3 linked regions of the Kluyveromyces lactis genome follow. The protein of the gene in region 1 binds, or shares a complex with, the protein of each later gene. Links are inferred from orthologs where the notes say so. Each region holds a gene or a part of one and is shown in the gene's direction. Other genes may lie near its edges. The genes, in order: RRP4, SKI6 and RRP46.

Region 1 (9,609 bases):
AACGTCCACTCCCTGTCTCGTTGCTTTCCCAAGAGAAGGTTAGTCATTCTGAAGGCTGCATCTTTCAATTTCTGTTGCCTCGAGGGCGAGACATGGAAATGACTCACAGATGGCAACATCTGGTCACGTGGACAGAGTAAAGACAAACGGATGATAAAAGAGATGGACTGAGGGACACTGGGCCAGTGACTTGTTTTGGTGACTGTTTTCTGCAATCATGAGAGTCACTGGTATGTTGCATTCTATTTACATTGCAATTATGTATCAAGATAGTTAGATAAAGGCTAGTGACTGTGGTAGTTGGAAACTAACACAGAACATTGGTTTCGTTGGAGCGACTTTTCTCACTAAGTGGAACTGGAACTGGTTGAACGGAAGCTCTTGCTCAGTGGTCTTCATTATTTGTAGTATTTGTTGGTAGACCCTTTCGTGTAGTTGTTCCATGGATGGTTCTGGTTGTTCTTCCGCATCGTATTTATGGAAACAATGACAATGGATCCATGGGGTTTGGAACTGTTCGCCGTGTTCTTGAACCATCTGTTCGTATGTGAACCCGTACCTTGAATATAATCCGACGAATTCATCAAGGAATTGAAGAGCACTGTCAGGTAAGTTCATCACGTAGTGATCGAAGAACTGGTTTTTGATTGGGATCTTGGTTTCAGGAGTACGTTTAGTTTCTCCCGTGACTTTATCCTTGTACTTCTTACCTCCTGGCACCGTGATGACTCCCTGTACCCTTTCGATGAATTGTTGTAGTAGCTTGGGACTATCTCTGATGAATTCGCGGCCATCGAGGTTCAATGGTTCAACGAAGTTACCCACCTTATTGTCGATGATATTTTGCTGCATGTACTTGTAAGATTCTGGGTTCAAATCGTTACTTAGAACGATGACCTTCTTCTTTCCTGCTGGAACTGAGAATGGCCCCACCCCAGCAAACACATCACCAACTATTTGGCCCGGTTTGAATAGACTCACTAACCTTGCATGTTCTGTATGTAGTCTTGAGTTCCAGTACACTTTACTGAAATCGAAAGTGAATGAACAATCAGATTCCCTTTGAGTCACTAGCAGGTTCGGTTCACCCGCTAGGACGTTCATTTCGAAAGTTCTGAATTTGGTAGCAATGGAATCCACTTTATCGACCACGGTCTTGATCGTCGAATTCTTGTCCAAGATGACTTGTCCAATTATTTCACCAAACGGTTTGAACTCTTTCCTTAAATTCAAATGAGCTACGTGTCCCACAATAGTGAACCCAGTAGGAATCTCAGCAAGGTACTCCTCTGGTAAAATTGCATTTAGAATCTCTTCCACTTTCCAGAAGTCATAATCTAGCACATACTCATGGTTTCTCAACTCATACTCTTGCTCATCAAGAAATTCTAGTGCATTGGAGGTCAACTTCCCTCTCGCCTGCGAAACATCTTGTATACTGTCTTTTAGTATGATACCTTTGGTTATATGGTTGTCATTGGCCAGGGATTTGCTTTTCTTCTGTACTGGCTCGACATCGTTCTTATCAGTATCTTCTTTTGGTGTTTCGCCAAGTCTTATAACGAATGGAATTCTTGGTGTCCTTAATATATCGTCCTTGAACTTCTTGGTGAAGACAGAAATATTCTTTGGATTCTTCAATAGCAATACAACAACAGGAAGCTTCTTTACGAATAATGATTTATCTAATTGTTTCATGCCACGATGCACTGGTGGTTCATATTTGAACGTAGTTTCAATAGCTCTACTCATTGTTCTTCGAAGCACTAGGCCAAACCTCATAAAACTAGTCCTCCTCTATCCTTGAAAAATGGAGCAAAATAGTGTGCTATCACTTCACCAAATAAAACGCTGCCTGACGGTCGATCTTTGCTGCAACATTTTTACATCTTTTACAACGCTCATCTCATCTCATCTCATCGCTCTCTTATTTAATTTGGAAAATTTTCAGTTAACTAACACCAAAAGTAACAAAGGTACAGCGAGGAAGTCAGCACATCGAACGCCTTCTGCAGTCCCTGACATCGTTATATCATTACTTGGAACAATGAGTGATGTTATTAGTGTTATCAATAGGAACGAATTTTGGTCTAATGGCCGTTTAGAACAGGATGAATATGAATCAGATTCCAGCTCAGGTTCAGAGCAAGAACATGACATTGAGATGAGCGGTGCTCACGATTCCAATGGTGGAATAGACCATCAGGATGGGTCTATTGTCACACCTGGTGAATTAATAACCGATGATCCTATATGGATGAAGGGTCATGGTACTTATTTCTTGGAAAACAAGACATACAGTTCTGTGGTTGGCACAGTATCGAGAGTGAATAGATTGCTATCCGTTTTACCATTAAAATCTCGTTATATTCCCGAAACAGGTGACCACATCGTGGGTAGAATCACTGATGTTGGTAATAGAAGGTGGAAAGTGGATATTGGAGCCAAACAGTATGCGGTTTTGATGTTGGGTTCTGTTAATTTACCAGGTGGTGTATTGAGACGTAAGTCAGAGACAGATGAGTTGCAAATGAGAAACTTCTTGAAAGAAGGTGATCTACTAAACGCTGAAGTCCAATCGTTGTTCCAAGACGGTTCAGCTTCATTACATACCAGATCGTTGAAATATGGGAAACTAAGGAATGGTACGTTTGTTCAAGTCCCAAGTTCCCTAATAGTGAGATCTAAAAATCATACACATAATCTTCCAGGGAATGTCACCATTATCTTGGGTGTAAATGGGTTCGTATGGATAAGGAAATCCTCCAAGATGGATCTTTCCGGTAAGACCACTACTACAGGTTCAGGACAATCTGACCATTTACCAGGATCCAACAATGCAATGTCGGTTTCCATTACAAGATTGGAAGAAGAGAGTTCTTGGGAAATATATTCGGATAAAAATGATACTGTTACTGTAAGCGTTAGGCAAACAATCACAAGATATGCAAACGTAATTAAGGCGTTAGCACATTGCGAACTCGGTATCACTGAGCCAAGAATAATATCCGCATATGAGGCTTCAATGGCTTATGGTAACTTGGGACAGTTAATTGAATCGGAGACGATGGAGTCCTTAGGTCAAGACGTCATCAACTCAGAGAAGATGAGGGGAGCAGCATAGGTTGTAATCGGTAATATTAATATTTACATGAAGTAGTATTTTATAAATAAAGTGCATAATATTTACAAATAATAAAATCTTTTCGATAAGAGTACCATCATTTGGATGTCTCAGATGTTGGTTTATTATGGGTAGCTTGTAGCGAGTCTTGCTTCTTTCCATCGTTTGTGAAAGATTCAATTCTGCTCTTAACACTAGCACCAAGATACTTTTCAAAGAAGCCAATTTCTTCTTTCTTCTTACCGTCACCTTTACGCTTGGCAACAATACACCATGTCGTACCGAAATGTGTTCTTCTTTCTTCGACGACATCCAATCCAGAATCGTCAAGGATTTCTCCGATATCCAAGTTCCATCTACAACCCCATGTCTTTAAACGTTTCTCAGCTCTATCGTCAAGAATTTTGTTGATTGTATCGTATGAACCTCTTCCGTGTTCCAAGAGAATGATTCTACCGCCAGGTTTCAACAATTCAGCAAAATTCTTCAAAGATTTTACAGGATCGTGATGTGAACAAAGACCAAACGCTTCAACAATAGTATCATACTTAACAGGTGTCTCCTTCGAGTTCAAGTCGATCAAATCTTCCGCTTTCCCTACAACAAATGCACATTTCTTGAAATTGGGTAGTGCTTCTCTGAATTTTTTATTTGTGATTTCCATCATCTTTTCCGATGCATCCAAGAATGTGATTGAGTTGATCTTCGTTGGGTCTAAATATTTGATATTCCTACCAGTACCACAAGCGACTTCGAGAACATCTCCTTTACAATGTTTCATGAGCCACTTACGTCTTTTACCCATTCTGATCATCATTTCTTCAAAACTCACACCCTCATCGTACTCTTCTGCCTTCATTTCATAGAAATCAGTGGTATCCCTAGCAGGTAGAATTTTCTCGTTAATCTTGTTTTGATCGTTGTTTTCCAAGGTAATCTTATCCAAATTCTCAGTCCCATCTTTCTCTATAATCTTTTGGTATTGTTTCAATTTCTCCACATCTCTTGTTCTTAACGTATTTTTTAGTTCCTTATAGCGCAACAACTCATATTCATTTGCTACTCCCATATCAATCTTTGCACTAATATCTTCTAACTCCTTGTCCTTCTTATAAAGCTTCTTGGTATAGTTTAACCCATATAGAATGAACACCACATATGCGGCAAGAATGTATTTCGTTAAAGCTTTCGAAAACTTCTCGGACCTTGCAATGGCCCCGTACCTAATAATCCAGTTGTCAGATTTCAAATCCGCTTCATGCTTCTCCCTAGCAATCTGCTCCTTTGATTTAGGCTTCTTGTAAACGGAATCTGGAGAAGGTATGTATGTACTTTTGCAGCGTACAAGATCAAGAACCTTATATCCCGAACCTAAGCTTGGCCCACATTGCGTTACTCTCAATGGCCCCCGCAAGAAATTGCGTCTGACAGCAAACATTAGTGAAACAGATCACAGGTGATTCTTGAGACCCTGTTAAAACAGACCAGAAGACCATATCGGAAGGCTGTTTTGTCGGTTCTTTTGCGTTAACTCAAGATAAAGAGAGAGCGAGATGAGACGGTTTCGAGGTTGAATCGATCTTGAAAAATTTAGAATATCACGTGGTACAATTGGGTTGAGTGAATGTCTTAATAACCAAGTGGTGTTGACCCAATCCAACACCACTGACAACAATGAATTCTCATGCAGTTGGCTCAGACTCGAGGTTATGAATATATACAGATATCTATTGTTTTTATAAAGTGTTCTATTCGCTAGCAAAAGTGGCAGCGACGACTAATGGGAAAACGACAGTGGCATCTGCATAGACCTTAACGGACTTAGCGTCTGCTTTAATCTTACCCCAGGAAACAGCCTCATCTGGTCTTGCACCAGCATCAGAACCGTCAAATTCTTGACCCGTGTTGATATAAACAGCGTAATCTGCACCGTTTCTCATCAAACATGCGTTTGCGATGTGATGTTTGATTAACCCACCACCAAGGATAATCATACCTGCCCGTGATGCTTCCATAGACATAGAGTTAATCTTACGAATATCAGAAACAATATCTAGTCTCAACTGTTTAGGAGATGCCTTGAAGGTATGGAAAAACAACATATCACCAATGGAACCATCGGTGACAGCAGGACAAAAGATTGGGATATCGTTCTTATAAGCCCAGTATAGAACACTGGATTCATCGTTGATCTCTTTACCTAACCTACGGATCAACTTGGAAGGAGTCCATACCGGAGAGTCTTGATCGAAGTTGCTATCCAAACAGTCTTTACCCTGAGATTCGACGTAGTTTTCTTGTTCTTCAAGCATCTTGTCCAAGATTGGAACGATCCATTCTTCAAACTTACAATAGTTGTCGTTAGGAACCAGCAAATTACCAATACGGTTCATACCTTGGTCACGTAACCCTTTACCAGGTAAAGAAAACTCACCAAGGTAAGTGTCAGCCAAACACTTGATGATATCTTCTTCAACACCGCCTGCAGTTGCAACAATGGCATCGACCATCTTATTCTGAACCAAGAAACGTAAAGTCTCACGCAAGCCAGAAGAAATCAAATTCGAAGTGTAACCCATAAAGATAGTAGTCTTTTGGTACCCATCATTGTCAAAAGAACCCTTGCGGTCATGTTCTTCCAACTTGTCACGATGTTCACCTCTCCAGGATCTCATCTCATCGATAATATCGCAGGCTTTTCCCAAAGAAGACGCCTGGAAGCCCATAGTAGCCATCGATTTAATTAAATCCTTAGAACGCATGTTGCGTGATTCTGGTTTGCTGTAATCAATACCTTCGACCTTAACAAAATTATCAGGCACTGGAACAGATTGCTTCAACACAGCATCGCTTAAGATGTCAGGTAATTTACCGTCAATGTTGGACATCTTTTCGTTGTAAGTTAGTAGGTAAGTTGGTAGAGCACTTCTTTCTGAACAATGAAGCTCCAATCGCCTAAGTATAATGTGGTGAATCAGGTTATAGATCAGAGTTAATACCGTCTTGTTCTTACAGTTGTAAAGTTCATGCGGTGAGAAGTGAAAAATTCCTAAAAGGTAAAGCCTTTTAGTTTTATAAATCTCTAATCTGGTGACGAGATGACAAGTCAAAGAAACGATGCTGCACCACGATTAAACACATGACCTACTTTTTGGGTTTGCCTTGGTTCTTTGTGTGAAACTATGGTATGACTCTATTGTTCGTTGGTAGAGGCAATGCTAATGTTTGCTATCTCCTTTCTGGTGAAGTGTACCGTATCAGCTTAAGGCACCAGAAACTTTCCAGGAACAATGCATATGTGCAGGACAACTTCCAGTTTATCGATTCCAAGATCAGGTCACTTCCTATGTTGGCCGATGTGGTTGTTTCCATGAGGTTAGAAGAGGTGTTTGTCGATACAAAATGGATTAATGTGTTGAAAGATGAGAATATCTTAATCGATGATAGTCATATGCAATGCATAGTCATGCCTTTATTGCATGCCAAGGATAGTACATGTGAACAGTTGGACCATTTCAATCAAATCTATCGATGCTCATTGAATGATGCTATTACTTGGGAATTCAAGCCAAAGTGGTTGTATCAATCTAGTGATTATTGTAGGAATTGTACACATAACTCGCTGAAGGGAAGAGATATTGAGTACTGTTTTTTACATGATCCGGAGCTGATTATCGAAACGCTGTTTGCAGGACGCCAAGTGCCAGAAGAATTTCTTGATGACATTCTGCAGTATCTCCAATCAAGTGACAGTATTACACAGAGGCTCTATGCTGCTCAGCGTTTTGTGAAAGATGATTTGTCAACGCTAATGACGCTAAGAGATGTGACCTGTTTCTTGACCTGGTCCCGCAATACAAGGAGCGTCAAGGCTACGATAATAGATGTTGATCAAAAACCAGCAAACAAACTGCGGCATTGGCAGAGTACTGAATCCGCTCTTGCATCTTTCCCAGGAAAGAAGAAGGCTCATTTCAACCACCAATGATTGTACTTTTACTCTATATGTATACATGAAGCTATCTTACACTCAAAGTAAACCTTATGTGAATCCTTAGGATCTCTCAATATTATACTGATTTGACCATCCTTCCCGAGTCCATTGTGACAGATTTCAAGATCTGTGCCAGCATACACATGAGACGTATTCTTGTATTTTATGCTGGAGACTTGTCTTCCAAAACATTGTTCGAAATAGTTGATCACCAATTGAACCAAAAACGGGCCCTGTACTATAACATCACGGTATCCCTCTACGTTGCGCGAATAGTCCCTATCCCAATGTATTCTATGAGGATTCGAACTGATCGAACTGTAAACCATGACATCGATATCTTCCAAATTGATGATTTCTCGGGTACTGTAATCTTCGGACTTGGTTATTACTTTATCTGAGACTTTTTGATTAGTATATATCAACGTTCTTAACTCTTTAACATATAGGTACCCCTTTTCGTCTCGTATAGTTCTCTTCAACCCTACGAAATGGTCTTTGTTCAGTTCTTTGATGAATTTAAGTTCTTCTTGACAATTGTACCAGCCATCTGTCAGTGATTTCTTGAACTCAATTGATCCCTGAACCCACATGCGACGCCGAAAGGGCACTTCACGTTTCAATATAGCACCAGGAGTCTGGTACGAGTAGTATCCGTCTTCGCTGAGGGCAGCTGTTACTGGATGGAAGAACAATAAATGTGAACCTGAAAGCGATATATCGTTTGATACTTTTGCTTTTGGCAAGATAGATGTAACCAAAGTCTGATACCTCTGTACCGTCACCGGATTGATGTAATCACTGATATGCCACTGCATTGCCGCGAAAACTAACAGCTATGTGGATATGGTTGGCTTTTAAGGATTCCCTTTTTTTTCTATACTGTTTGATGTGAGGTTTACGATTGAATGCCCAACAGTTTTAAATTCATTCATTACTTGTTTATGACGATATACAGGTAAATAAATTAAATAAGATGTGAAGTGGGATACAGTTCTATCGAGTTGGTAGTAAACACTACTGTGCATGATATCGTGAAGCTGATTGGCAGTCTAATTGACTGGAAAGTCAAGTGCAAAGTGAATTATCGTAACAGCAACTACAGTGTTACAGTGCAAATGAGAAAAGCATGATCGATTGTTGATAAGAAGTGAGTAATGGAGTTGCTTAGTTTCGATCCTTTTAAAAAGCCAACATTGGTAAATCTTTCACTTCAGTCTTTCCATCGAGCACTCAATTAATAAACTCAAGGCAAATTGCTCATCAAAATAATCCATGTCACTAATTGTAATACATTTCGTATTCGTAGAGTTAATTGAATGTTTCAACCACTCCTATCCTATCCAAGCAATAAAAGTCAGTCGTCTGGTCATTTCTTTGTCTTCTTGAACGTATATATACGTAGCAAGATGGTAAAACATGAAATTATTTCTGTGATCCACTGGATAAAAAGACATAGGCGAGTAGCCCTATGACAACGTACTTCCAGTTTTTCTGAAGAAACGTTTTGTTCTCTACAACATCTTCTTCAAATGCAGCGGTCCCTGTATCCTTTCTCTGAGCTTTTTTCTTTGCCTCGTAAGTCAGAGTTCTTTTCTTCAACTTGATACTTTCCGGTATGGGACCATTTCCAACCTCCTTTATCAGTGGTACGATGCCATCAATACTATCATCTGCATGAATCGACATACGAACTAGTTTATCATCAAGTACCACCAGCTCCAGTTCGTATGACAATGGTTGCTTTATATGGATGAAAGAGAAACACTCATCGTAATAATCTTGAAAAGTCCCACAAACTTTATATTCACCGTCTGTAATTCGATTGGCTGTCACAGCCAGGTTAATACCTACCTCATCACCAGCTTCGAAAGTTGCCAGGCTGTACCTTTCATTCAAATTGTTCAATAAGTAAAGATCACCAGTACCTTGTAGAGATGCCACTACCGCACGCAAGTGAAACAGAAGTATTAGTAACAATTGAATCATTTTTAGCATAGCTAATTATTTGAAGATAAATCCAACCAGTTTTCCGCTGTGTTATATGATGGAAACACCAGTCTATGCTGTGAGATTCATCCTTTTTATTATTACATTTATTCAGTTTAAGGTTTAAAATTGGATTAATTCGATTAATTGGATTCTTATATTACAAACGTTTAAGTTTACTTAGTGGAAAGTACAAAAATGATATACGGAGCTATTATTTGTTGGCGCATTGTTGTCAATTCGTCAGAGGTTGATTGTAGCTAGTGTATCTGCCGCCTTATATGATATTTTTACCAGTTACGTCGGTGGTGTTTGCTATCTCATGGATTTATTCAGGTGTCTCAGCATTCAATCCATATAGCTCTACGCCTTATTCGCTAAAATACGTTGATGAGCAAGAGTTCCTAAGTGTAATAGATAATGAGACATTGCTCCAAGAAGGACGGCTTTTCCGCCCCTACGAAGGGTCCGATGTTTTGTGTTACCAAAGGAACACTTCGTC
Region 2 (8,323 bases), on another chromosome or scaffold:
GTTTTCCGCCAATCCTTTGGTCTCTTCCTTTTGTCTAACTAAACCTCCCATTACAGGCACATCCTTCGCTTGCTCCCATGGCTTCAACCGTGGTTTCAAGTGATGCTCTGTAGCCAAAGATTGGTCTAGTATGATATCTGGGACATCCACTACGTTTGGGACTGGTTTGTTATTAACAATGATATCCATCAACTCATCATAAGAGAGCTCGGTGGCTTCCTCCTTATTCTCCATGATTTAATTAAAATAGTTCCACTTTGGTGGATCCTAGTGAAAAGTAGGCAAAACTTTCAAACCAACTGCGCTCCTTGACGATTTAGGTGTTCTCTTCATCGGTTTCCCATCTTACTTATAATCATCTTTGATTCTCCGAGAAACCTTTAAGTGACTTTATATTTAAATTGTACTTTTTCAACATAATGCCATGATTTTGGCATTACATACCAACCTTGGGGAACCACATTTCGAACAATAAAATCATATCTGAAGATCATAACGACTGCTTGCTTGCTTGAAGCCCGCCATTTTACTAACAGGAAATGCATAGAAAAGTAATCTTATTATTAACAGTCTCTTTACTACTTCGAATTGGATTCTTTTCTTACGGTATTTTCCAAGACTCGCATTTTGACGTTAAATATACTGATATCGATTACTTTGTCTTTCATGATGCAGCTGGTTACGTTAACAATGGACAATCCCCTTATTTGCGTGATACATACAGGTACACACCTTTATTGAGCTTCTTGTTACTACCCAATTATTATCTAAAGTGGATTCATATGGGGAAAGTCTTCTTTGTTTTATTTGATCTCATTACAGGTGTGATGATCATAAAACTATTACAAGGTTCATGTCAATTGACAAAACAGCTAATTCTAGCTTCTATTTGGTTATTGAACCCGATTGTTATAACGATAAGTACTCGAGGAAACGCTGAATCGGTTTTATGTTTTTTGATCATATGTGCTTTATACTTTTTGAAAAGAGACAGGTTACTTATTTCAGGACTTTTCTATGGGTTATCGATTCATTTCAAGATCTATCCGATAATCTATGCGCTACCGATCGGAATATATCTCTTGTTGTCGAGTCACAATAGAAACTGCATTTGGCGATTGTTCATGATAGGGATATCGACGCTAATCGGCATAACTGCGCCGACGTATTTCATGTACAAGCTTTACGGGAGCGAATTTATCGAACACTCGTACATGTACCATCTCACGAGAACAGACCACAGACACAATTTTTCGATTTGGAACCTGGTCTTACTCTTAGAATCTGCTGGTATTCATCTTTCCCAATCTATCGAACTATCTAAGCTGGCATTCGTTCCTCAATTGACACTATGTGCAGTACTACCTTATCTATTGTGGAAATCACAGACGTTCGAAAATTTAATGAATGTCCTATTCGTACAAACATACGCATTCGTTACTTTCAATAAAGTATGCACTTCTCAATATTTCATTTGGTATTTGGTATTATCCCCATTTTATTTCGCAAATACAACCATTACATGGAGAAAAGGTGTGGTCTGTATATTTTTATGGATATTGTCTCAAGCCGTATGGCTTTCACAAGCATATCTACTTGAATTCAAAGGCCAAAATGTATTTTTCCCCAACTTATTCTTTGGCAATATAGTGTTTTTCCTCATCAACGTCTATCTACTCGGTGTCTTTATCACTGACATCAAATCCAGAACGTCATTCCAAGACAATCAACATAAGAAGAATATATAATTTTAACTTAGCATATACTGTAGCGTACTGTGACATTTTCAAAGCCACGATCGAAGTCCTGACGAGTATTTTGATGTTCCATTCCGTTCATCCAATTTCATATCCGTTGTCAGATTCACTCGCTGCTGTTTTCTTCATACTGATTATTGAAATAGAATTTGAAAAAAAAAAAGTATTCAAGTTTTGAATCTTACAAGTGAAATATGAGCTCATCGACATCTACTAGAAGAAGTACATTCAAAGCAGAGGCTGTCAGATTGAAATTAGCCCCTCCAGCTAGCGTGTAGGAAAACCCACTTTAACTAACAGAGTAACATAATGTCACGTTTTGAAATATATTCTCCAGAGGGATTGCGTGTCGATGGTCGTCGTTGGAATGAGCTAAGAAGTTTCAACTGTTCCATCAACACTCACCCGAATGCTGCAGATGGATCCTCGTACTTGGAACAAGGTAACAATAAGATTATCACATTAGTTGCTGGTCCTCAAGAACCATCCTCGAGGTCACAAGTCAATACGAAACAAGCTACTTTATCCGTTACTATTAACTTAACGAAGTTTGCCAAGATGGAAAGAAGCAAATCAAGCCATAAGAATGAAAGAAGAACCTTAGAATGGCAAGCTTCGTTAGTGCGTACATTTGAAAAGAACTTGATGCTTCATCTCTATCCTCGTACGTCAATTGACGTTCAAGTTCATGCTCTACAGTTAGATGGTGGGATTCTTGGGGCAATGCTTAATGGAATAACATTGGCTCTGATAGATGCTGGTATCGCAATGTATGATTTTGTAAGCGGGGTTTCAGTGGGACTTTATGATACTACACCACTACTAGACCTTAACTCGCTTGAGGAAAATGCAATGAGCAGTGTTACCATAGGCACAATTGGTAAATCAGAAAAATTATCTTTATTAATGGTGGAAGATAAAGTGCCTTTGGATAGACTTGAGAGTGTCATGGCCATCGGAATAGCAGGCACTCACAGAATTAGAGATTTAATGGATAAGGAGCTTAGAAAGCATGGAAAAACAAGAGTTGAAAACTCTTCGAATTGATTTTTAAACCATTAATTATAAACTTCACATAACATGTAAACATAAATGCATTCTACAATTCGGATCTTGCCTTTAACTACAATTTTTTACCTATAGATGAGAATAACCCCTTAGATTTTTCTCTCATGCTGCTAGAAAACATCTTCTTCTTCAAATGTGTAACATTTTGGTTCACCGTATTTGCGACGCTGTTCTTTTTACTCAAAATATCCGCTTGAGCATAAGCATCTTGAACATGTTTATTGACTTTGTAGTCTTTGAAGATAAAATCCTTATCAGATGTGGTAGAAGACTTCAAAGCATATTGGATCCAGCTCTGGAGTCCGGAGTCATATTCTTTTAATTGTTCCTTGTAATTGTTTAATTTTTTTAGTTTTTGGGAGTGAAGCTCATTACTGCTTAAAAGCTTGACCAAGTCTAGATTCGGGACAGTTGACTGGTGAACCACTGATGGAATTTCATCTCCTTCAGAACTGAATGCTTCTTTTAATTTTGATTCACCTTTTGGAGCTTCACCGTTCACGTGTTTGAATATAGTATCGTTACTAGAAACGTAGTCAGTAGATTCATTGGTAATTTGTATGTTCGTAGGGAGAGCCGGAGCAGATGCATTATTGGCAATCAGAGCAGGAACGTTATATATGGTTTGATTGTCATAAATTGTTTTAGTGTCAGCAATCGTCTTGAGGTCGTCATCATCTGATGCAACGTCATGTGGAAAAGCATTAAATTGACTTTCTCCGTCTGATGCTACCGATGAATTGCGTTGAATATTGGATGTTGTGTTTTTGTTCACTTCAACAATTTCCCCGTCCTCATTTACGGTGTATCCTTCGGGAGGATTGTTGATATCGATGGTCTCAGTAACAAAACCAGATCGGAATGCATCGGTGTCTGGTTTCCACTTGCCTAGATTGATTGACTCCCTGGTTGAGAATGCTAATTTCTGTGGGCCGTCTTCCTCGTCTTCAGAGCTGTCAGAATATCCTCCGACGTCATTTTCAGAATTCTGATCTGGAACGTCCGATTGGGTTATAGAGGATTGACTCAATCGTTTCGTTACGCTCTCCGTTATCGAATTAACATCGCTATCAGCTGTCAGTCCATCTGTATCGTTGTTATTCAATGTATGCCTATCTGAATCGTCGATTTCCTTGTCCTCATCAACCATCGCAGCGAAATAGCCACTTTTAGTGACTTCTAAATCTCCATCCTCATCAGTATAATCTATGTCATCATCGCTTGAATCGAGAACAGAGTTCCTGACAGGGTTTCTGAATTTAAAAGATTCTGCAGAATGAACAACATACTGTCCCAGGCTAACTTCGGAAATAGCACGTTCCTTCTCTTCGCCAGAAGACTCTGATGAATACCCGTCGTGATATGACAGGTCTGTTTTGGATGTTTTACGAAGCTTTACAGGCGACGCATTGTCTTTCATCAAACTTGGTTCTGAACCATAACCATTTAGCAGTGAATCAGAATCATTGCTGTCTCCTTCTTTTGAGTGTTGAATAGACAACTGGGATTCTGACGGAAGACTATTAATAGAACTTGGAGGCATCTCTTCTTTATCTTGACTTCCAATTGATTCTGGATGACTGTCTGATTTGGACCAGTTATCTTCATCTACCGCGTCTTTACTGCCTTTGTCATCTGAAATTGCAACATCACCCTGTATTCTAGAAGGAATTTCAGTTGTTGGGTCAATCATTTCGTCTTGCAACTCCACTGATATTTGGCTAGTTTCTACTTCAGAAGCAGCATTCTTGAAAAGTTCTACTTCGGTATCATCTCCTTTAAGGGGTTCTTCCTCTGCACTGACTATCTTGAAAGGTTCCACTTCAACATCAGCTCTTTTAACCGACTCTGCTTCAGAATCATCTCCCTTAAAGGATTCTTCCCCAACATTCACAATCTGGACAGGTTCAACTTCAACCTTAGCTCTCTTAACTGATTCTGCTACAGACTCAACTTCACTAACCGATTCTGCTTTCGCATTATCTGTTTTGTTAATCTCCGTAGCAGATTCAGCTAGCTTGGCCGATTCTATATCACTTTTAACAGATTCTCTGTCATCCGTATCTTCATCGTTTACGTATGCGGCAAAATAGCCAGTCTTCGATACCTTCAATTCTGCATCATCTTCATCCTCTGGATCACTGGTATTGTTAACGTCCTCATCTTTTGCAGTCATCTCTTGAGATATTTGATGCATTAGAGAATCTAGATCATCATTGACAGATTTATTTCCTGATCTTACAGATGTATTCAGAGAGTCAGATCTTAGGCAGGTGCCAATTGATGGATCAGGTGAGCTAGATTTTGCAATGTTGTTAGATTCAGGAATATTTACCTGTGGTAGTTGCGGAATATTATTCGTTAGGCCCTCATCCTCAGAATTAGATGAATAGGCATCCCAATCAGCACCGTCATAGTTTGCCTTTGACGCGCTAACCCATCTCTGGGACTTATGCCTAGTAATGTTATCACTCATTTTCGCGTTATCCTGATAGTGTTGCCTTGCTATGTCGTCCATAAAAGAATCCTCTTGATGTCCTTAACTTTCATTAAAGTGGCTTAAACTTAATCCCAAGGTTTTTGTTTATTATTTAATTTACTTTTCTTAAAAGAATGATCTAAATTGACACGAAGATCACAAGAAATTTACCTTGAAACGCAGATTTGAAAAATAAATGTGTCAGAGACAGGTCAAATCTTTTAAAGTAAGGTACCATGATGGATGATGTATATTAAAACAAATATGGTAAGCTTCCTCGATGAAAATACTGGTGGAGTAATGTTGCCAGTAATAATACGTACAGTATGTGAAATTTGACTAATATTCTATGCATTTATATATATATATCTTTTAATTTTTAGTATGAAAGAAATAATCACTCTACAAATGGACGTCCTGACCGTTAGCAAAAGATATTAGTAAATAGAAATTCAAACCGGAGATGAAGATCCATACAATGACAGCAACAACCGTAGTGAAAATGCTGTTACTGAAATCTTTGTAATGAACAGACTCATCTGATAGAGGTTCAGGGGAATTAATTAGATGAGCGTCCACCTCATCATCAGTATCATGAGCAATAACGGTAGCATCATCTGTGGCTAAGTTACTGGAAGACAAATTCTGTAATGCAAATAAGTTTGACGGTTCTTGAGAACAATCTATAGCCCAAGGAACTCTCATAATGTTTTTATTACTAGTGAAGTAAATCAATGGAGCACTCACAAATGGTAATAGTAACGAGAGAACCACCTGTGAGGCATTGAGAGCCCCTGATAAACCGTTTCTACCGGCCACCAATACTAAAATCAAACATGGTGTTATAGCAACAACACGCGTCAATGCACGCCTTAATGCTGGAGCAACAGTCCAATTTAAGAATCCTTCCGAGACCATTTGTCCACTTAGAGTACACACAATACCTGCAGATTGCCCAGAGAATAGTAAGGCCAAGACAAAAATTGTACCAGCAGTCTTTGAAAGAGTTTCTGATAATAGATTATAGATGGAGAAAAGATCTGCTTCGTGCGCATTGTTTGAAGTTACCCCGTATAGAGTGGCACCAGCTACAATTAGGATCGAACAGTTAACAAATAGGGCAACAGTAAATAATGAAACCAATAATTCAGCCATTGTGTAATTTAATGTGTCGTGGATTGCATCGATAGAAGGTTTGTAATTATCATGGTTATTATCTTCATCATTTTGTGATGGAATGTAATGTCCCTGTTTGATGTCGTAATCCCTTAATCTTGGTTGAACAACACCTGATCCGAGGTATAAGCTATGGGGCATAACTGTAGCTCCAAGAATTGCCAAACTTAGATACAAACCATCACTCTCGAAAACAGCTTTTGACGGTAGGAATCCCTTAAACACTTCACCTACAGAGTCGATGTGGACGGAGAATAACTCGATTGCGAAACAAACCACTGTTGCAAACACGAGTAACGAAACAAAGGCTTCGAACCACCGTACAAGTTTCAAGGATCCATTAGGCTTGTATGCCAATAACACAACCAAGACATCCACTACTGTTAAAATGACACCTAGTGGCAACGGGATCTTGAAAAGGATGTTCAAGGAGATTGCTGTACCAACCACTTCCGCAAGATCAGTAGCAATAATCGCCACTTCAGCTAGCACGTATAGAACCAAATTGAGGGTCGGAGGTAAATGTTTTTTACAATTTTGAGCCAAATCTAATCCGGTGACGGCACCTAACTTAGCACATAAGCATTGCCAAAATGCTGCTAGAATATTGGTGACCAGAACAGAGAATAAAAGTTTATATCTGTGCGCAGAACCTGCTGCCACAGCGGTACTGAAATTCCCCGGGTCCATGTATGAAACGGAAACCATTAATCCGGGACCCACAAACCTGGCATACTTCTTCAATATACGAACGCAGTTTTGGAATGTTTTAACGTAAGTCGGAGTATCAGTATCTCCTTCATGAACGAACGCATTATATTGCTGGTCATTGGTGTTCCATGCAGAAGACCCATCACTACCTGCAACCTTTTTAAACTGAAGAGAAGAAGACATGCGGGGTTATACTTGGGTAATATATTTTTTTTTTTTTGATTGTATTTATCAGAAGACAGTACACGTTCAGCGAAGTAGGTCCAGATGGTGAGTATATCACTTTCTTATATTTTGATAATGGTGCGGGGAACAAAAAAGAATGGATTGAAGACCTGTACTTGGAATGTGTCCGTCACACTAGCACAGCAGTTTTGAAATCGGTAGTGAACTCAAAAAGATGGTTAAGCAATAAAGTGCAATTAACTGTTTTCAGAAAAGCCAAACTAGACACACTTGAACTTTTCAGTAGGTTTCAATGAAAAGACTAGGCAAAGAAACTGAATAGGTGCAACTAATAAAAAATCGAGCCAGAAAACCAGGTTTCTTTGAACACACCAACACACCCTTATTGATAATAGTATGATGAAAACAGAATGGTCTAGATCGAAAATATCAGCTTCAAATTAATGGAATGCTAGTGGTATAAAAGGATTGCAAATCTCACACATCATGTTGAGTATTAAATATTGATGAAGTGAACAATTGAAACTGTAAGCATAATTTTTATATATATTTTCCAAGTACCTCTTTAATCCCAAAGAAAAAAAAAAGACAGTTAAAATTTCAGATCATTTAAGCCTGTATGAAAAATGAATTGCGAGATAAAGGTGAAAGTGACTGCATAGTTTTCATGCCGGGTTTGAAAAATTCAGCCAAGACGAATCATGTGAACGTTGCTGGTATCCTTGTTATCATACGTCCTCCACAGTACCCAATTCAGAGCAGCTATCGGTATACACATATAGACTTGTTTATATTTCGACATCAGGCACCGTGGCCGAGGCTAAATGTAAGGGTAACGGGTCCCGGAGCATTATGTCAAGACACATAACTTCAAGGTTTCCATATCACGTGCGGTAAAATAAGCCATATGAAATATATGTTACCCGTCCTAAGACCTTTTGTCCAA
Region 3 (10,677 bases), on another chromosome or scaffold:
CGGATCCGGTTTCTCGTCAAATGGCGATTTCATCTGCGTCATTGGTTGCGGTTTCTTTTGTGGCAAATTCTTCGTCAATGGATCTGAGACTCTGTTAGTACTTTCATCTAAATCAGTCAAGAATGAGAACTTCACAGAATTCTTCAAGGAATAATTGATTCTTGCGAATTGTTCTTGCGAATATGCAACTTCTCTCAAATAAATGATCATCGCCTTCAAGATCTTCCGCCATTTATGAAACCTATCCGCCAAGATATCAGTAGGATATTCTCGCACAAATGACGCTGTACCATCATCATATAAGTCTAATCCCTCAGCTTTTCCAGCATTGGCACTAGCACCTGCACCCGAGCCCACACCAACATTAGCACCAGCTCTGGCACTGATATTTGCATTACCGGCTCCTGAATTGGCACCAGCACTGGCACTGTTAGCACCAGCTCCTGCCAAGAGAGAATGCTTGGGAGTCGGAACGTTCACGTAATAAGGAGAATGATAGTTGGTCTTGGGTAAGATATCCTCATACTCGGTTTCATCAGCTAAATCCAATAAATAATTCGAATCCGACGAAGCAACTGATGAGTTATCTGCCAGTGATCCAGTATCCGTTTCTTCAATTCGCGGTTCCATCGCTGATAATGACAGATCAAAGCTTGGTTCCTTGTCCCTAAAATAAACCGATTATAAAGTCAACAGCAACAATGCTAAGCGATATTCCGTTGCCACTCGTATCACACTGGTATGTTATGTGCTTCCAGTGAATACTGATTATCTATGTTACTCGACGGTACAGGGAGTTTAAGGAGTGTTATTTGGCTTTCTTTCTTTGTTTTTGTGTTGACATGGTGTGGTGATGTGTGTGATTCAAATTCCAATTATTTCGATTCTATTTATGTACATTCTCTTGATTAAACTCAAAACAGAGTCATGGGCTCAGCCGTGTACGGTCCAAGAATAGCAATTTAGGGCATGAGGAGGCTGCTATAGTGTGCTTCAGGAAATCGTCAGAGTTTATTCAAGAACTTGATTTGGATGTACGTAAGGATATTTAGTTTATCTCTCGGGATTCTGTATCTAAATTCAATAGATTTATAAAAGTTTATAAGGCAGAATGTTACACGGCGGGACGAGCCTCAGAATCTGAGGGTCTATTCGCCGGTCGCTCGCTTTGTATTATCTTCATTTATCTTGGACTTTACCACCTTTCTTGATGATTCTGACAGCAACAGAAAGCATGGTTGATAACCAGAATAAGTTCAAAACGTCAAGGATCAGGTTACCGGTCACAATGATGGCCGTTTCGAGAGGTAAGAAGCTTGGATCGTTTCTGATGTTGTAGAAATCGGTACACAGTTGGTAGAATTGGTAGAAACCCCAGCAGATTCTTGCCAAGAAGAAGATCAAGATCAAAACGACATTGTTCACCAATTGGATCACGTTACACACCTTGGCCATGACAGTCTGACAGTCTTTGGTCAGTTGTGGCAAGTACTTGATCCCGAACCATCTGATATTCAAGAATGGATTGGATAGCTCGAACATCAGGAAAATACCTGCGTAGTAGTTGATGTAAGGTTTTAAACCAATAGCATAAACCACCGTAGAGATCAAACCGTGCAGCACGAATGGGAGGGTAGAGTAGACCAATGAAATGTAGATATCCCATAGGAAGTACCCAATTGCGAAAACGCATACCTTCACGTTATATGGGTCCATGCCAAAGATACGATCGTGAGAGTTTAGATCTGGTTTTTCATTGTTATATGCAATGGCCTCGAAACTGAGATAAAGCACGATCAGAGATTGGATCCAACTCACCAGACGAACGGCACTCTGGTTGACAAGGTCTGCATGCTGCTTTTCCTTAGACTTACGTTGGTCTTTCGTAGTCTCCGGATCCCAGGATAACCTATAAGAAGCTAGAGGTGGGAATAAGACCCGTTGAGATAACAGGAATAGCGCATGATACCCGACGGCAATGTACAACACAGTGTGTAAATTGGATAGAATCACATTCGAAGTAATCCATCCATTGGATTCGAGATATGGGATCACGTACTCGGTCAAATGAGGGTGCGGAGGTAAGGACATCACATAGGTCGTGAACAGATCTATCTGTTCGGAAACAGCTGCTGGAACGACGCTGCTAAACAAAGAACTACTCATCTTTGGTTATTGAACAGGCAACAAAACTCTCAACCTCGAGGGAAACAGTACCACAGCTGCTGGTCTATCCGTAGTAGCACAAAGCCTTTTTTTCTCCTTCTGATCTAGTTCCGTTTGAAGTGGTGAATGTGGATTTACAGTAATTTGTTCCATAAAGCTGCTCGAGAGATGCCATCATAAAATACGAGATGAGACAAAGATGATATATGGTAAAGTACGCAAGCTATGGACCGTACATTCTGGCGTTAGGTGGCATGCACTTTCAGAGTACTAGATTTCTAGTTCATTGATGTATTTATATATATATATATATATATCGGTAAATTCTATTCGGTAGTTATAAATGGGGAGGAACTCTTAGTTCTTCTTTGCACTTCTTCTCTCAGTGGCTTCTGCTGCGTCCTTATTGGCAAGCATCAACGCAGCACGGTTTAGTTGAACGACGTTGGCAATCTGCTTGAATATGTACCCTGGAAGACACACCAGCGCGATGATAGCTCCGATATGGGTGGATCCAAGCAATGGGAAGTAATACGATTTGAACTGAGGGAAGGCGTTGATATATAGACCCATGTAGAACATTTCGTTCAACGCACAAATCGTGAATAGCACCTTACGTCTCGTGTAGTATAAGTTGAGAAGCCATTGTTCCTTTTCGATGGCCTTGTGCGATTGAGACCCTGTGCTTAGCGTTGCGTACATGTGGATATAGTGGCTTGAAATGTCCAAGGCAACTAGTAGTTGGAACACGGGCGACCATACCGGATATGCCACGCATAGGAAACAGATCAATGCTGTGGTGGTGGATCTATCTGTCACCATATCCAGCACAGCACCGAATGAACTGATCTGGCCGTACTTACGTGCCATTGTCCCATCTAGTGCATCTAACAAACAAGACACTCCATACACTACCATCGTCCACAACGGATGCTTGGCCATCAAAACCAACGATAAACACATCGTCACCACACGCACATACCCTATCTGGTTTGGGATGTACCATAGCACATCTCTAGCGGTGACAGCGGACATTTGAAACTATTTCACGAGATTATTCTTGTTAACTCGTCGAGGCTCTTAATTTAAGTAGTTTCCAGAAACAATCTGCACAACTTCGCAATAGTAACACCAAAAATAAGAATTACCACTTGTACTTAGATCCTACGCGTCAATTGCAGCTAGAAGTGGCGCCGTACCGACTGGTTTTGTCGTCTCTTTTTCTCTTTTGCATCAGCCATCGGTAAGTTGCTTTGATTCGTTTGGAAGTTATCATTAAATGATTCTGATATTGATCACGTGACTTATACACAGTAGGATATTCCTCTACATCAACTATATACTGGAGGTAAACACGCTCTCTGTAACATCCTCCGTTGGTATGAGATATATCCACAGTTGTCCTATGGAGATCTCCCCCAGCGCTGTCCGTGATCAAAGAGATCCATTGTGCGTTCATACACGAAAAGACTGATTGCTGTCGTTGGAACAGATTTACATAGTCCCATTGTAAGTCCTCGGTACAACGCTGATACACCCTCCTGTCTTAGTATCTTGTAAATAATTGCAGTGGATGATTTATACCTGTACTCGTGGTAAACAGCAGGGAATTTGGTGAAATGAACTGTTCTCTTAGAGTTCATCACTTGCATTCTGCGACGTAAAGTGTCAATGGGGAACACCATCGTCTTGGATACAAACCCTGCGATGATCCCTGAACTAGCACTTACAGGTCGCGACCAGAATTCTTTCTCGTGGTTTTCACAGACTATATTCACGGTCTCATATGTGAGAAACATGATAGCCGTGGATAAAGTAACCGTTGTCATCGCAGTGGATATTCCAGTGAAAAAACCTCGTACACCTTCATTGAGCCACATTTGTCGGCACTCCTCTGCGACACTGGTCCGATGGCTCGTTCTGTTTGCTATAAGTCTTGTCCGAAGCAAATCTAGCGGGTAAGATACCACTGAACTAGTCATTCCTGCCAACGCTCCGACCGTTAGCGTTTGTCCCTGCTGTGAAAACCGAGGGAACTTCGCAGACCAAACGTTGTTGAACCACGAGTAAGATCCGAATTGTACTGCACCGTAAACAACGTACATCGCCGTCGCCGGGATGTTTCCTTTCCATAACGCTCGAAGTCCTTCTTCTTTCATTATAGTTCTCACAGTAGATGCAATTCCCTTATATTTGTCCTCTTGTACCGGTTGTAACTGATATCGTATTTTTACAGTATCCATTGGTGCAGTTGCCATCCTAGCAAATACCCCAGAAACAGAACCAGCAATCACTGAATTGTACCATGATACCGTTTCACCTTTCCTGAGATGGTCTTTCCTTATGCCAGTGTTCATTCTCTCTTCGTCATTAAATAAATCCCTCTCTCTTGATGGATTGAAGATTCACTGAATGCTGGTCTCTCGCTCCCTTCTCAGAACTTAAATGAAGCCAGACCTACACACAATCTCCTTATTTATAAATTACCACATACATGCCCTGCTAAAAGGGTCTCTGGCACATCAATTGCATTGCATCTCCAACCTCTTAGTTTCATATCTATTCATTGCGTATCCTAAAAGTGAAAAATTTCTGAATTTGAAGCTCATCTCATCTCATCCTGACATAACATTCAAAAGATGGGGAAAGAGGGACTGTAGTGGCTCATTACCGTCTATACCGACTGCGTATTGATTGTTATATTGTACCTATAGTAATTTTCTAGCCAAGATGGAGACTACGACGCATGTTTTGGGCCATGTTGATGGCTCTTCTGTTGTTTCAAACAGCGGAACTAAAGTTATCTGTTCTGTTTCGGGACCCATGGAACCTAAGTCTAGGCAAGAGTTGCCCACACAACTTGCATTAGAGATCATCGTGAAGCCTGCTGAAGGCGTACAGAGTACGAGGGAAAAGTTAATGGAAGATCAGATCCGTTCTGTGTTGACCCCAGTGCTTGCGAGATACTTGCATCCACGTCAATTTGTGCAGATATGTCTCCAAGTATTAGAAGCGGGAGAAAGCAGGGATTATACTGTGAAAGAAGTCAGTGTATGTGTTAACGCAGCGGTGCTCGCATTGGTGGATGCTGGTGTACCGTTACTCAGTATGTGTTCTGGTACTTGTATTGGTATTACCACTGAAGGGAAGCAGCTGGTGGTGAACCCAACAGAATCGCAGCTAGCTAAATGTGAATCGGTCCACGTATACTGTCTAGAGCTGGGCACGAATGAGAACGGGGATATAGATGTCAGGAACCTGCTTCTTCTTGATAGTTTAGGCAGCTTTGACGAGTCACAGTTGTTTAAAGTGTTAGAAACAGGTGAGAAAGAGTGTATACGGTTATACACAGAGTTGAGATCAGTGATCAAGGATAAAGTCGCCAAAGATTTCGTCTGGAGACAGTAGTGGGTATACCTGCACCCATGGTTCTTTATAAATTAACTTTATAATTAACGTTATCATCTTTATATACAATTTATATATATTTGCATTTATATAATTCGCATTAGCAGCGGCAGAGAGAGTAATCTAATCTATTGGACAAATAACAAAACAATTCTACAACTTCAATGCTTCCAAGTTAGCGATGGTAGCTTCCAAGGTTTCGATTTCAGCGGCAGCGTGCTCTGATCTTTCTTTGTTGAATTGCTTCACTTGGTCATTGGCCTTTTGTTCATAATCGCTGCTGTTGACAATCTTATCAATGGCAGATTTAGACTTCAAAGTCTTGTCTAGCTTCTTTTGGACCTTGGAGATTTCTGCATCGATATCGACGTGACCCTTCACAAGCACATGCACGTTAACTTCTGGGTTGACAGATTGTAGCACACAACCTTGTGGGATATCAGCAGCAGATTTCACAACGGAAACTTCATCGATTGCCTTAATCAAAGAGACGATAGAATCTTTTTGAGATTGGACAGTGGAGTAGTATGATTCATTAGCAGATTCAACAAACACCTTACCGTTTTTCAAGATGTTATATTGTGCCAACAAGGAACGAGCATCCTTTGTGACGTTTAAGATTAGCTCGTATTCCTTAGCAGCGCTTGGATTGTGGAATTCTTCCTTGAAAGTTGGGTATGAGCTCTTAACGATAGTTGGAGAAGTTTCGCTGGCGTATCTTGGTAGATGTTGCCACATTTCTTCAGAGATGAAAGGCATGAATGGATGGATCATTTTCAATGCATTGTCGATCAAGATATATAAGGTATCCTTAGCAGACTTTTGTTGAACTTCTGTACCTTCTTGAATCAAGTACTTGGAGTTCTCAATGTAAACATCACAGACCAAATACCAGAATTCATAGATGGCTGAGGTGGAGTTCAAGAAGTCACGCTTTTCAAATGCTTCGTTGACATTCTTGGCAGTTTCAGTCAATTCGTGCAAGATCCATTTTTCAACTAAGGATTCATTGCCAGAAAGAGCTTCAGAAGCTGGTGGTTTATAGTCATCTCCCAATCTCAACAAAGCAAACTTGGTAGCTTGGTAGATCTTGTTACAGAACTTTCTGTAACCTTCAACACGGAGAATATCCAAGTTAATGTCACGACCACCAGTGGTGTATGCACAAAGAGCAAATCTCAAAGCATCAGTACCACATTCTGGGATACCGTGTGGGTAAGATTCCTTTTGACCATTCTTTGCCTTCTCGACTTCTCTTGGATCTAAGTTACCTTGCAACAATTTAGCATGTAGATCCTCTAGCTTGATACCAGAGATAACATCCAATGGGTCAACAACGTTACCCAAGGACTTAGACATCTTACGACCCTGAGCATCACGAACTAAAGAGTGACAGAATACTTCCTTGAATGGAATAGAGCCGGTCAACTTTAGACCTAACAAGATCATTCTGGAAACCCAGAAGAAAAGAATGTCCCAACCAGTTTCCAACATGGAAGCTGGGTAGAATTGGCTCATATCTGGAGTCTTATCTGGCCATCCTAAAGTGGAGAATGGGTATAGACCAGATGAGAACCAGGTGTCCAAAACATCTTCGTCTTGTTCCAAAGTGTACTTCTTATCAGCAAATTTAGTGGCTGCCTTAGCTTCGGCTTCTTCCAAGTTTCTACCTGACACCCAGAATGAGTTATCGTTACGGTCGTTTTCTTCACCTTCAATGTTCACGAAGTAAACAGGACAACGGTGACCCCACCATAGTTGTCTAGAGATACACCAATCTTGAATGTTTTCTAACCAATGGAAATATTCAGATTCCGAAGACTTTGGTGTGATGGTAATTTCACCGTTTCTAACAACTTTGATGGCTTCTTCAGCCATTTGCTTTTGCGAGACCCACCATTGAGGCTTCAATAATGGTTCAATGATATCACCAGATCTCGAACATGTTGGAATAGTCATTTCGTTGTCTTTTTGACCAACGAACAAACCCTTTTCCTTTAACTTTTCGATAACTAACTTTCTAGCGTCGAATCTCCTAGTGCCCTCCCATTCAGGACCACAGTTTTCGTTCAATAGACCATCATCGGTGAAGGTGTTGATAACTTCCAGATTGTGACGAAGACCGGTGTTGTAATCGTTTTGGTCATGTGCAGGGGTGATCTTCACGGCACCAGTACCGAATTCCATATCAACGGCTTCAGCATCGCATACAATTGGCATTTTACGATTCAAGAAAGGATGTTGAACGAAGTGGCCATGTAAGTGCTTGTAACGTTCATCGTCTGGGTGAATAGCGACAGCAGTGTCACCAAACATAGTTTCAGGACGAGTAGTAGCAACAATTAATTTTTCATCGGAACCAACGACTGGATAACTGAAAGAAGTCAAAACACCGAACTCCACCTTTTCATCGTAACCTGGAACAGACAATAGAGTTTTACCTTTAATGTCCTTGTTTTCGACTTCAAGGTTAGAAATAGCAGTGTTCAATTTAACGGACCAGTTAACCAAACGAGCAGCACGGTAGATGATACCTTCTTCATGCAATTTAACGAAGGCTTCCACAACGGCTTTAGAAAGTTTTGGATCCAAAGTGAATGCTTCACGGCTCCAGTCATAAGAAGCACCCAATTTCTTCACTTGGTTCTTGATCTTTTTGTGGTATTCTTCTTTCCATTCCCAGACCTTGTCAACGAACTCTTCTCTACCGTAATCGTGTCTGGTCTTTTTCTCAGAGGCCCAAATCTGTTTCTCAACAACGGATTGAGTAGCAATACCGGCATGATCGAAACCTGGTAAGAACAACACTGTCTTACCCTTCATACGGTAGTATCTACACAAAGAATCTTGAATAGCGATAGTCAAAGCATGACCGATGTGTAAAGAACCAGTAACGTTTGGTGGTGGAGCTGGAATAGTGAACACACCTTCTGGCTTGATCTTACCGTCCTTAGTGAACTCTGGTTCAAAGAATCCAGATTTGTTCCACCATTCGTACCAAGAGGATTCGACATTGGCTGGATTGTAAGCCTTCAAAGCTGGATCATCCAAGGAAACCAAGATCTTCTTTTCACCTGCGACCGTCTTATCCACAAATTCAGGGATTGGCTCCGTTTCCTTCTTCTTCTTTTCCTTCTTGGCTGCATTCTTGGCTTGTCCGGCTTGGTTCTGTGCTTGCTTGGCTTGCTTGGCAGCAAATTTCAATAGTTTCTCAGCCTTCTTCTTCTCCTTCTCAATCTCCTTCGGACTCTTTTGAGTACCATCCTCCTTTAATGGATTGATGATGATCTCGCCAGTCTTCTCATCGACTTGTGGTAAGTCTTGCTTTGGCTCAGTAGACATTTTTCGAATAGTAATGCTCAACGATGACGTGGGCAGCAACTGAGTTCGTAATAAGTTGAATGTACGCGTTGGAAACAACCTCAACATTAAGTTGTAACCAAAATAGTAACGCAACAAACAACTAGGAGATCCGTAACTGCCATCATCCGATCATGTTGTCATTAGTTGATCAAATTCTTAATTTCAGTTCTTGGTTTCAATGTTGGAAAATTTTTTGTCAGTTGGCACTGAGAACTCTGTACAAAGGGGTGAAAATAGAGATAAGGAAGGGGGGGAACCACGGTCAATAATGGACATTTACCAGTGTTATAGTGGTTGGAAGGTACTCTAGTGTTATGAGTCTGTTTTTCAAATGTGTAACTGAGAATATTCTTTTCAAAAGAGCTCTTTTTAGCGCATTTTATGCAGGATAGTCGATTTAGTCATAAGTGTCAGTGACCGACAGTTAATATAAAGCTCGAACAAAGTGATTGAAATGCAGTCAATGGTGATGCTAGGTTAGTTATTGTAGATATTAAGTAGTCTGCTTGCCTTAAATCACGATTTAACATTCGAGCTTTGGACAATGAGTGGTAAATAAGGTCGGATTTAAATTCTGACGTTCGATGTAGATACAGAACGCAAGTCAATACAAGGGCATGAAAAGATCTGGAGGAACAATTTGGGTTGAGTGATGGCGTGGAAAGGGTTTGAGCAGCCCTGGCGATTGTTTAAGCCTTTTTGATGGACGTGTGGCCCTAGTTGTTTATCACGTGACCGTATTTCTTTTTCTAAGGCATCTGGAAAATTTTAGCTCATCTCATCTCATCTCATCACCTCTATAAGACAAGTATTACTGTGTTTGCAGTGGGTGTAGCCATCCAAATCAACCACCTATACCAAGTTCAGCCAGACTTTAACCCAGAAACCAAATATGTCTCGTGTTATTGTGAAAGGTTTGCCGATATATCTCAAAGAGGATCGTCTAAGGGATTTGATTGAGAAGAGGTTAACTCAGAAACATCAAAGTACCGATGTCCAGTCCTACCTCAGTGATGTTAAGTTGATGAAGAACAGGGATGGTGAATCCAGACGATTTGCATTCATTGGGTTTCGTGACGAGGAGGACGCTTTTGATTGTGTGAACTATTTCAATGGAACTTTTGTCGATACCTCCAAGATCGAAGTGTCGATGGCTAAGAGTTTTGCTGATCCTAGGGTACCTCAGCCCATGAGAGAGAAGAGAAGAGAAGCGTTGAAGAGGCTCAGAGAACGTGAGGAGTTGCTTCTTGCGGATAAGAAGGACTCTCAGAAAAAGCAGAAATCAGACTCCAATAATGACGGTGGGAAGAAGCACGATATAGATGCTGAGATAGCCAAGAACAAGCAACTACAAGAGTTCATTAACACGATGAAACCCTCCAGCCAGGTAACATCGTGGGAGACTGTTCAGTCATCCAAGACTCAGGGTGAGGATGAAGAAGCTGCTGATGATGAAGTTGGTGAAATGTCCTCTAATCCGTTGCTTTCGCAAGCCTTGGCTTTGAAGGGTAATTCTCGCGATGCCGATGAGGATACCGACATGTTCAAGTTACCTGGAAATGAAAGTGATGATGAGTATGTTTCTCTCAATGGTGGCTCGAATAATGCTAATACTGATGAACCTGAACCACAAATGATGAGCTTGGATACGTTTGATACTGCTGGTCCTACTTCCACGGACGATATGGCCAAAGATGAAGCGGTATCAGATTTGGACTGGTTGAAAAACCGTAGAGTCAG

The links.
Region 2: RRP4 (region 1) and SKI6 share a complex: the UniProt entries of both Schizosaccharomyces pombe proteins name them as parts of the RNA exosome complex. The link is inferred for Kluyveromyces lactis from reciprocal best matches to the Schizosaccharomyces pombe genes rrp4 and rrp41.
Region 3: RRP4 (region 1) and RRP46 share a complex: the UniProt entries of both Schizosaccharomyces pombe proteins name them as parts of the RNA exosome complex. The link is inferred for Kluyveromyces lactis from reciprocal best matches to the Schizosaccharomyces pombe genes rrp4 and rrp46.

The regions. Positions count from the first base shown.
Region 1 is NC_006041.1:1,123,900-1,133,508, reverse strand, and holds RRP4 (exosome non-catalytic core subunit RRP4), read left to right. Parts: upstream 1-1,810; coding exon 1,811-3,124; downstream 3,125-9,609. Other genes in the region: TRM5 (tRNA (guanine) methyltransferase), read right to left, coding at 274-1,782; OMS1 (putative RNA methyltransferase), read right to left, coding at 3,222-4,562; DYS1 (deoxyhypusine synthase), read right to left, coding at 4,873-6,012; IPK1 (inositol pentakisphosphate 2-kinase), read left to right, coding at 6,312-7,112; hydroxyacyl-thioester dehydratase HTD2, read right to left, coding at 7,121-7,936; EMC10 (Emc10p), read right to left, coding at 8,544-9,116; YOS9 (Yos9p), read left to right, coding at 9,389-9,609. UniProt on the Schizosaccharomyces pombe protein: Non-catalytic component of the RNA exosome complex which has 3'->5' exoribonuclease activity and participates in a multitude of cellular RNA processing and degradation events.
Region 2 is NC_006040.1:808,254-816,576, reverse strand, and holds SKI6 (exosome non-catalytic core subunit SKI6), read left to right. Parts: upstream 1-2,066; coding exon 2,067-2,804; downstream 2,805-8,323. Other genes in the region: KLLA0_D09669g (uncharacterized protein), read right to left, coding at 1-234; GPI14 (glycosylphosphatidylinositol-alpha 1,4 mannosyltransferase I), read left to right, coding at 540-1,748; FYV8 (Fyv8p), read right to left, coding at 2,881-5,343; divalent metal ion transporter SMF2, read right to left, coding at 5,707-7,374. UniProt on the Schizosaccharomyces pombe protein: Non-catalytic component of the RNA exosome complex which has 3'->5' exoribonuclease activity and participates in a multitude of cellular RNA processing and degradation events.
Region 3 is NC_006040.1:1,261,649-1,272,325, reverse strand, and holds RRP46 (exosome non-catalytic core subunit RRP46), read left to right. Parts: upstream 1-4,896; coding exon 4,897-5,574; downstream 5,575-10,677. Other genes in the region: KLLA0_D15081g (uncharacterized protein), read right to left, coding at 1-630; ALE2 (Ale2p), read right to left, coding at 1,180-2,166; PIS1 (CDP-diacylglycerol--inositol 3-phosphatidyltransferase), read right to left, coding at 2,524-3,201; thiamine transporter TPC1, read right to left, coding at 3,570-4,523; VAS1 (valine--tRNA ligase), read right to left, coding at 5,728-9,003; RNA-binding ribosome biosynthesis protein MRD1, read left to right, coding at 9,830-10,677. UniProt on the Schizosaccharomyces pombe protein: Non-catalytic component of the RNA exosome complex which has 3'->5' exoribonuclease activity and participates in a multitude of cellular RNA processing and degradation events.